Cricetulus griseus: one gene and its partner. The protein of the gene in region 2 interacts with the protein of the main gene of each other region in a pairwise test. Links are inferred from orthologs where the notes say so. Each region holds a gene or a part of one and is shown on either strand. Other genes may lie near its edges.

Evidence for each region.
Region 1: the proteins of Ubqln1 (region 2) and Fzd7 interact in binary tests that used the Homo sapiens proteins (3 or more experiments, as listed by UniProt). The two-hybrid records come from large-scale screens. The link is inferred for Cricetulus griseus from reciprocal best matches to the Homo sapiens genes UBQLN1 and FZD7.

The regions. Positions count from the first base shown.
Region 1 is NC_048595.1:413,755,493-413,759,609, reverse strand, and holds the start of Fzd7 (frizzled-7), read right to left. Parts: upstream 2,801-4,117; 5' UTR 1,931-2,800; coding exon 212-1,930; 3' UTR 1-211. UniProt on the Homo sapiens protein: Receptor for Wnt proteins.
Region 2 is NC_048596.1:277,235,694-277,239,815, forward strand, and holds the start of Ubqln1 (ubiquilin-1), read right to left. Parts: upstream 2,801-4,122; coding exon 2,645-2,800; intron 1-2,644. Other genes in the region: translation initiation factor IF-2-like, read left to right, coding at 2,799-3,047, 3,091-3,828. UniProt on the Homo sapiens protein: Plays an important role in the regulation of different protein degradation mechanisms and pathways including ubiquitin-proteasome system (UPS), autophagy and endoplasmic reticulum-associated protein degradation (ERAD) pathway.

The DNA of each region.
Region 1 (4,117 bases), on a different chromosome or scaffold from region 2:
GCCTTTTGACTTTTCACTCAGGCCCTCTCTCAAAACCACCTCTAACCCCAAATCTCTTCTCACCTCCAATTAACTTCTCACTTCCATGTTAAAGCTCAGTGGAGGAGGGGGTAGCCTACAGAAACAAGTCCCCACCCAGCAGTTCTTTCCCTACCATGCCTCTCCTCCTACAAGGAGGGAGAAGTGGCAAGGTTGGGAGAAGGACCGGGGCTCATACCGCAGTCTCCCCCTTGCTGCTGTGGCTGAGTCTGTGGTAGAAACGACGCCATGACTGCAGGGTCTTGCCAGACCAGATCCAGAAGCCGGTAGTGATGCCCACGATCATGGTCATCAGGTACTTGATCATGAAGACTGTGAAGTCGGGGCTCATGGGCGGGAAGTGACCCGGAGGGCAGGGCACAGCGTAGCTCTTGCAGGTCTGTAGGAGCCAGGTGCGCTCCCAGTGCTCGCGGAAGGCCTGCTCGTAAAAGTAGCAGGCCAGCACGATGGTGGCCGGCACCGTGTAGAGCACGCTGAAGACGCCGATGCGCACCATGAGCTTCTCCAGTTTCTCGGTCTTGGTGCCGTCGTGCTTCATGATGGTGCGAATGCGGAAGAGAGACACAAAGCCGGCCAGGAGGAAGGACGTACCGATGAAGAGGTAGACGAAGAGGGGCGCAAGCACGAAGCCCCGCAGCGCATCCACACTAGACAGGCCCACGTAGCACACTCCACTGAGAAGGTCCCCGTCCACCTGGCCCATGGCCAAGATGGTGATTGTCTTGACTGCCGGCACAGCCCATGCGGCCAGATGAAAGTACTGCGAGTTAGCCTCGATGGCCTCGTGGCCCCACTTCATGCCAGCTGCCAGGAACCAAGTGAGGGACAGAATGACCCACCAGATGGAGCTGGCCATGCCGAAGAAGTAAAGCACCATGAAGAGGATGGTGCAGCCCTCCTTCTTGGTGCCCTGCGCCACCGTGCGGTAGCCATCGTCCGAGAAGCGCTCCACGCACACGGCACGGTCCTCCAGCAGGAAGCCCGCCACGTGCGCCACGGCCACCATGAAGTAGCAGCCCGAGAGGAAGATGATGGGTCGCTCTGGGTAGCTGAAGCGCCGCATGTCCACTAGGTAGGTGAGCACCGTGAAGAGCGTCGAGGCGCAGCACAGCACCGACCACACACCCACCCAGAGGCGGGCGAAACGCCTCTCCTCCTCTTTAAAGTACATAAGGCCGTTAGCACGGCCGGGCTCACACGGGGCACCGCAATCGCGCTCACCTAGGAAGCGGTAGCCCAGGTAGGGGGGCACTTTGAGCTGGCGCGGGCACGAGAAGGGGAAAGACCACCGGCCTCTGCCATCTGAGGGGGGCATGGCAGTGAAAGGCGGGTCTGGCAGGTAGGGAGCAGTAGGGTAGGCGGTGGGACTGCCGCCCGCGCCCCCGGAGCCGTCAGACGTGTTCTGGCCCACGCAGATCTCGCCGGCGCCGTGCACCGGGAAGTTCTCGCAACGCAGCCGCTCAGGCCACTGGAAGCCGAACTTGTTCATGAGAGCCTCGCAGCCTTGGCGGGCGCGCTCGCACAGGGAGCGGCACGGAGGAATGGCTTGGTCGAGCACCGTGCATACGGGCGCGTACATGGAGCATAAAAAGAAGCGCAGCTCGGGAGAACACTGCACCTTCACCAGCGGGTAGAACTGGTGCACCTCGAGGCCGGCGTCCTCTTGGTTCGTGTGGCCCAGCAGGTTGGGCAAGATGGTCTGGTTGTAGGCGATATCCGTGCACAACGGGATGGAGATGGGCTGGCAGAAGCCGTGGTCCGGTACCGAGATGCCCTTCTCGCCGTGGTACGGCTGAGCCCGGGTGCCCGCAGGCAGCGCGCCCAGAAGCGCCAGCAGCAGGGCGCACAGGCCCAGGGGCGAGTGCGACGCCGCAGTGCCGGGGCCCCGCATCGCGGGCCGCGAGTGCAGTGGCGTTCTCAGCTGGGGGAAAAAGACGAGGCGCTGGGGAGCGGCTTGGATGCAGGGAGGCGCCGCCGCGCCCGGCGCATGAGAGTCCTCCCGGCGCCGGGGCCGGGCCGTGGGCGGCGCGGAGCCGAGGGCGCTAGGTGCCTGCACGGCGGGGGCGAGGCCGCCAGTCGAGGGGGCGCCGCAGCCGCCTCCGCGTGGCACTCACGCGGCCGCCGGGGGCTCAAACTCCTGGGCCTGGGCTGGGGGATCGGGGGTGGGGTGTCGCCTTACCCTCCCCGCCGAGACGTAACGGTGCGGCTTTCTCTTGGGCGACGGGCTCCAAGCGTCTCCGGTTACCTTTCAAAGTTTGCCCAAGTCTCTCGAGCCCCGGGCGCACGGCGATGCCCACGTCCCCACACCGGGTAGGGCCTCCGCCAGACCAGAGCCCCGCGTCCCCGCCTGCTCGCCCCGGCCGCCGCCTCGGCGGTGCAGCTCCGCCTTCTCGCCTCGAGGCCCCGCGGGCCGCCGCCTCCTCCTCCTCCTCCTCCGAACCTCGAGCCTCCTTCAGCCCGGGGAAGGTCGGCCCCAAGTTTCAGTCAAACGTCTGGTTCTCAATTTGAGTCCGATCGGTCCCCAGGAGCTAAGAGCTGGGCGAGTTCTTTTTGGAAACCCAGTTGCGCGGAATCCCAAGCGCCGAGGCTCCTGCACCCGCGGCCTGTCTGCTCTCGGCCTCTCCTGCCGGCTCAGTCCCGGCCGGCGAGTCCCCGCGTCCGCCGCCGCCCGCCAGGGAAGGAGCGCAGAGTAACGCCTGGGAGCCGCGCTGGTGGCTAGAAGAAGCGTCGGGCTCGCAGGGTTTCGGGCCGCCCCGCCCCCTCCCCTCCCCCCATTCACAAACCACTCCGGGGGCGGGCCCCGAGCCCTCCGGAGGCCCAATAGCGCGCTTTGTTTTCTCTGTAGACGCCTTCCGATTGGGTGGAAGTCGGAAGGGGCGGCCGAGGGAACGAGGAAGGCGGTGCCTGAAGCGCTCTGGGCGGATTCCTGAGGGGAGGGGCGGGGGACTGGGAGAGAAAAGTTAGGAGAAACTTTTACCCAGAATTTGCTCAGGGGAGAAGAACGCACCAGAAAGGGAATTTGTTTGAAAGATTGGTTCCTCTTCCGGATACCCTAAAACACACATTCCTGAGCAGAAGGGCGCATTCGCCAAAGGCTTCGGCGAGACGCTGAGAATAGCGCAGCGCTTGGGCGGAGAGACGTGACCCAGAGTCACGTTAGCCTGGCTGGCTTGGGCGGGAGGCTTTTGGTTAGCATCAGTGTGGGTCGGGAAGGGGCTGCGACTGAAGATCGCTCTTTTCTCCCCATACCCAAACGACCACATGAAACCACAATCCCCTCTCCCTCCCCCCAGTTACAAAGAAGGGGGCCTCCTGGAAGGAGAAACCCGAGTCGGCCGAGGTGGGGACTTGTGGCGGGAGGAAGTGCAGACCCTCGGAGGAGAGGGCCCAGAGCTGGGGGTGCGCGGGACTCAAGAGCCAGCCACCCCGCCCGCGCGCACTGTGGGGAGCGTAGGGAGCCCGAGAGGTTGGGGGTGGGGTTGGAGGACGCTAAGGCAGTGCTGGGGGAATGCTTATGAAAGCAACCTGAGACCGAGTACCCGGGACTCTCCGTACGATTTACTGAGCGCCTTCGGTTGCCCTGTGTGGCCTTCGGGGGTCCCGTTTTCGTTGCAGAAGCAACCATTTGATCTTTGCATTTGGAATCTACATAGAAAAGTTTTAAAGCGCGTTAGAAACCAGGGCATTTGCTAATTAAAGGGCTTTTGAGACACAAAGAGGGGTTATTTTCCTTCTGGGATAGCGTTTTTCTGATTGGCAAGCGTTCTTTTGTCCTCGGTCAAATCTTAACCCTGCTCCAGGCACTGGGCGCTCGTGCGCCTTGTCTGCCTGTCCCGGACCGGTCGGAAGTTACTAAGGGACCTCTGCTCTCTCAGAGGGGCCAGCAAGGAATATCATGAATATTATGAATTCCCGGGCAGGGAAGTGACAAGTTGAATCTCTCTGTCGTCCCTGAAGTCTTACTTTCAAAAAAACGTCATTCCTGGCTGAGTCCTACTTTCTACCTGTCTCAGTTGGTTGCCGGTATATGAGAGATTTTTGATCAGTTTGAATGTTGAATGTTGGCAGGAGTCATTGC
Region 2 (4,122 bases):
TAGTAAATATCAAACCTACTAAATTCTATAAGAAAAATTAAGTTACAAAATGGTAGACCTTGTCTTGTGCTACAAATAGTTTTATATTTTTTTTGTACATGTTTCTAAGTCTGCTCCCCTGACTCACTCAGCAGTTTGATGTGTTTTCCGTTTGTGGTACAGGGGTAAGCTTTCAACTTTCATCACATTTTCTGTTTCCACAGAAAACAGAGAAAGCTTTAAACATTAAGCAATATCAGAGTAAGTTACTTTAGGAAGGTTTTACTTTTACCCATTAAATCATTTTTAGTTACAGCATAGTGAAATATAAACTTCTACGGAATTTAAAACTTTAGTGTCACTCTTTAAAAAAAAATCTTACAAATCTTCACATAAATAATTTTTTCATTTATTATATTTCTAAAGTCCTGAAATAAAATGGGGAAGCTGTCAGGATGGAAATTTAAGCTGGGAATCTTAGACTCAAGAGCTTCATGATTTATTATCGCTACACATTCATTAAACAGCTACAATAAAAAATAAAAACAAACAAACAAAAAAACCTTGTACATAGCAAATATTAGCAAGGATACAGAACAAGAGAAATACACACCCATATGCTGTTGGTTGTGTCTTATAAAACTAAACAGAACTGGCCAGATGAGGTGGCGCAAGCCCTCAATCCATCCCAGCACTTGTGAGATCCAAGTCAGCCTGGTCTACAAAGCAAGTTCCAGGACAGCTGGGGCTACATAATGAAACACTGTCTCAAAATAAAACAAACAAAATAGCAGGGCATGCTGGCACAGGCCTTTAATCCCAGCACTAGGGAGGCAGAGGCAAGTGGATCTCTGAGCTGGACTATAGAGTTCCAGGACACCCAAGGCTGTTTCACAGAGAAACTCTTGTCTTGAAAAACCAAAACAGCACCACAACAAAACTCAAAAAGTAAACAGAAGCATTCTAATGCAGATAAAGGCATATATTGTCAAAATGATTTATATGCGACTGTTCACAGCAACTACAATTGAGAAAGACCCTGGACAGTAGATTGTGGCATATGCATGCTATGGAAAACCACAGAGCAGTTAGGTACTGAGCTGGGGACATGGGTCAGTGGTAGAGTGGAGCCTGTGCCTAGTATGCAAACATCTGGGGTGGGAGGGGTACAAACATTCACAAGGATGAATCTCAAAAATATGCTGAAGAGGGAAAGAAAAAAAGTCTTTCCCAAAAGATTTCATTATATACAACTCTGCGTATGTGAACTTCTGGACAGGCAAAATCAATCTCTGGTGGGGGAAAAAAAAATCCCCACGGGGGTGACAAAGAGTGACTTCTTTAAAGAGAAGGTGAGACAAAAGCTTTCAAGTCAGCTCTAACAGGCCACACCTAGTTGTGTGCTTGGCTGGCACAGGTGTAGATGGGTTTGTGAAAACTGGCTAAGGCACCCACGTGCACATCAAATTTATGTGGAATAAATTTCCACAACAGTGGTTTTCAAGTTAACTAACACGCACACGGCTTACGTGCCTTGTAAGGTGATACCGATATCGGTATTTACACCTTAAAAATGTATTTTAGAAATAAGGGACGCATAACACAGCAAGTGCAGGAAAATGTCAATCGTGGGTGAGGCACACACATGCTGGAAAACACAAAGACGTTCAACCTTTTACAGCAGCGTTAACAAGGAATGGTGATTCAGTCAACAGTAGTTCCCTCAGCTGATGCCACACACCCTCCTGTTTCACAAAAAAAAAACAAAAACAAAAAAAAAAAAAAAAAACGACTTCACCTTTGGAACTAGATAAACGTTCAGAGAACCTAAAGGCACATTCCAGTGCCTGTTAATTGCGTCCTCGCACAAAACCGTCCACGATGTTGAGACTGTCAACAATCCGAGTGCTCTAGAACGTGCTAAACAGATAAATCTGCTAACTTTTACCAGGGGCTCTTAATTAGCTGCAAAATTTGCTTTCCCTGAACGGGATTTAAAGCGATTATTTGTTTAGTAAGACTCCCCGTTAACACCAATTCTGTTTTCTTGCGTCCGGCGGCAACCACCTAACACCCCGGCAGGTAGGTATGGCTCTCGTCCCCCTGGAGTCGAACAATAACCTGCCCCGTGACGGGCGGGCGAGCCGGCGAGCGGGCGAGCGGCTGGGCGATGACGAAGGTTATTGAGACAGAAACAGCGAGTCGTCCGTGAATCAAAGTCTTTGACTTTTCTCCCTCGGGCGTGAGCTTATCACCAGGCTGACTGAAAGCGATCTCCACGTCACAATTTTAAATATATATGTATATATATAATAGCGTATATATAATAAAAGGCTGAAAGGTGTGGGGGGGACACACAACACAGAACGCAGCCTGCACGTGCTCCTCACCCCCAAATCTCTGCGATTCGCCGGCAGGTGAAACAATGACCCCCACCGGGCCCCGCCCGCCTCACCTCACCGCCCCGCCGCCCCGCCAGCCGGGCCACAGAGGCCGAGCGAGCGCCGCCCGCGCCCTGCCCGCCCGCTCCTTTGTCAGGAGCCGAGGCCCGGAGCTCGGCGGCCGCCGCTCGCCCTCCCCCGGCCCCGCAGAGCCCCGCAGAGCCCCGCAGGGCCGGGCCCGGCCGCCCTCCCCGCCCCGGCGCCCCGGCGCCCCGGGGCCTCACCTGCTGGACCGAGCTGTCCTCGGGCACAGCGAACTCCTCCTTCTCCTTGGGCGTCTTCACCGTGACCTTCATGATCTTGGGCTCCGCGGGGCCGCCGTCGGCCGCGGCTGCGTCCTGCGCGCCCGGGGGGCCGCCGCTCTCGGCGCTCTCGGCCATGGCGGTGACTCAGGCGACCGGGACCCTGCGGGCTGCGGCCGGCTCGGCGCGGCGCGGCGGAGCGGAGCGGGCACGGGCTGCGGCGGGGCCGCCGAGGGCGCGCGGGCACGGGCTGCGGTGCGGTGCGGTGCGGTGCGGGCCCGGGCGGGCGATCGATGGCTCGGCTGCCGTCTCCGCGTCGCCGCGCCGCCGCCGCCGCCGCCGCTTCCTCCTCCCGCACCTCCCCCACGTCCGTCGCCGGCGCCGCGCAGGGCACGCTGGGTAACGCGCTGGCCGCCGCGCCGACTCAGGGGCGCGGGGCACGCCGGGAAGCCGAGTCCTCGCCCGCCTCACGCCTGCCGCCGCCGCGCGCCGCCGCCGGGCTGACGAGGGGCGCGGGCTCCTCCGGCTCCAAGGCAGCCGCGGCGGCGGCAGGGGGAAGGGGACAGCGAGTTAACTCGGTTCGCTTCATCGCCCCCGCTGCGTCGGGAGCCGCTCCCCGGGGTCTCTGCGGGGCGCCGCCGCGGCGCCCTGAAATGACGTCACGGCCGGCGGCGAACTTGCTGGAAGCGGCCTGGCCCGCTGGGCCTGCGCTCCCGGTGTCCCCCGACCCGGCCCCGGTGGCCGGCGGCCCGCGCGGGCACTTGGTTCTGAGGAGCGCAGCGTGTGCCCGGGCGGAAGGGGCTGGGGCCGCCCGCCCGGCTCTGGGCCCCGCTGGAGCTGCGCCACCGCGGGCGGGCGCGGAGACGGGAACGGACGCGGGGCAGCGCCAGCGCCAGCGCCAGCGCGGGGCCCACAGCCCGCAGGCGTGGGTGCAGGGAGGCCGCGGCCCCGTCCCCGGAGCCAGGCCGGACACACGGCCGCCCTGCTCCGCCTTCCACGCTGTGCGCGGCAGACGCGGGTGCCCAGGGCGGGCCGCTCCACGGGTGGGCTGCAGCCTGGGGCTCGTGTGCGCCTCCAGGACGCGGTCCAAAGTTACTGCGCCCCCCCCCCCCCAGGCCCGAGGTGCCCTCCGGGGTAACCCCAGTGGAGAACGTAGGTCCAGTTAAGTTATTTCCGTTTCAGCCGTGACCCCCACGCCATCCATAACTTGCGATACATTGTGGCACTTGGCACACTAGCTGGTGCTGCACCAAGGTGAGCGCTGACAGAGCACCGTGACCCAAATACGCAAAGACATCCCATATTTTTGCTCTTAGGCCATCGAACCCTTTTCCGTGATTAACTGCTGTTGCATAAACACGTCTTAGCAGAGCCCTTTGAAATCTGGGTCAGAGTTGCGGCGGCGGTGTAAATTGCAAGACGAGGTATCGGTGGATATCACTTAGTGCCTGCCAGCATTG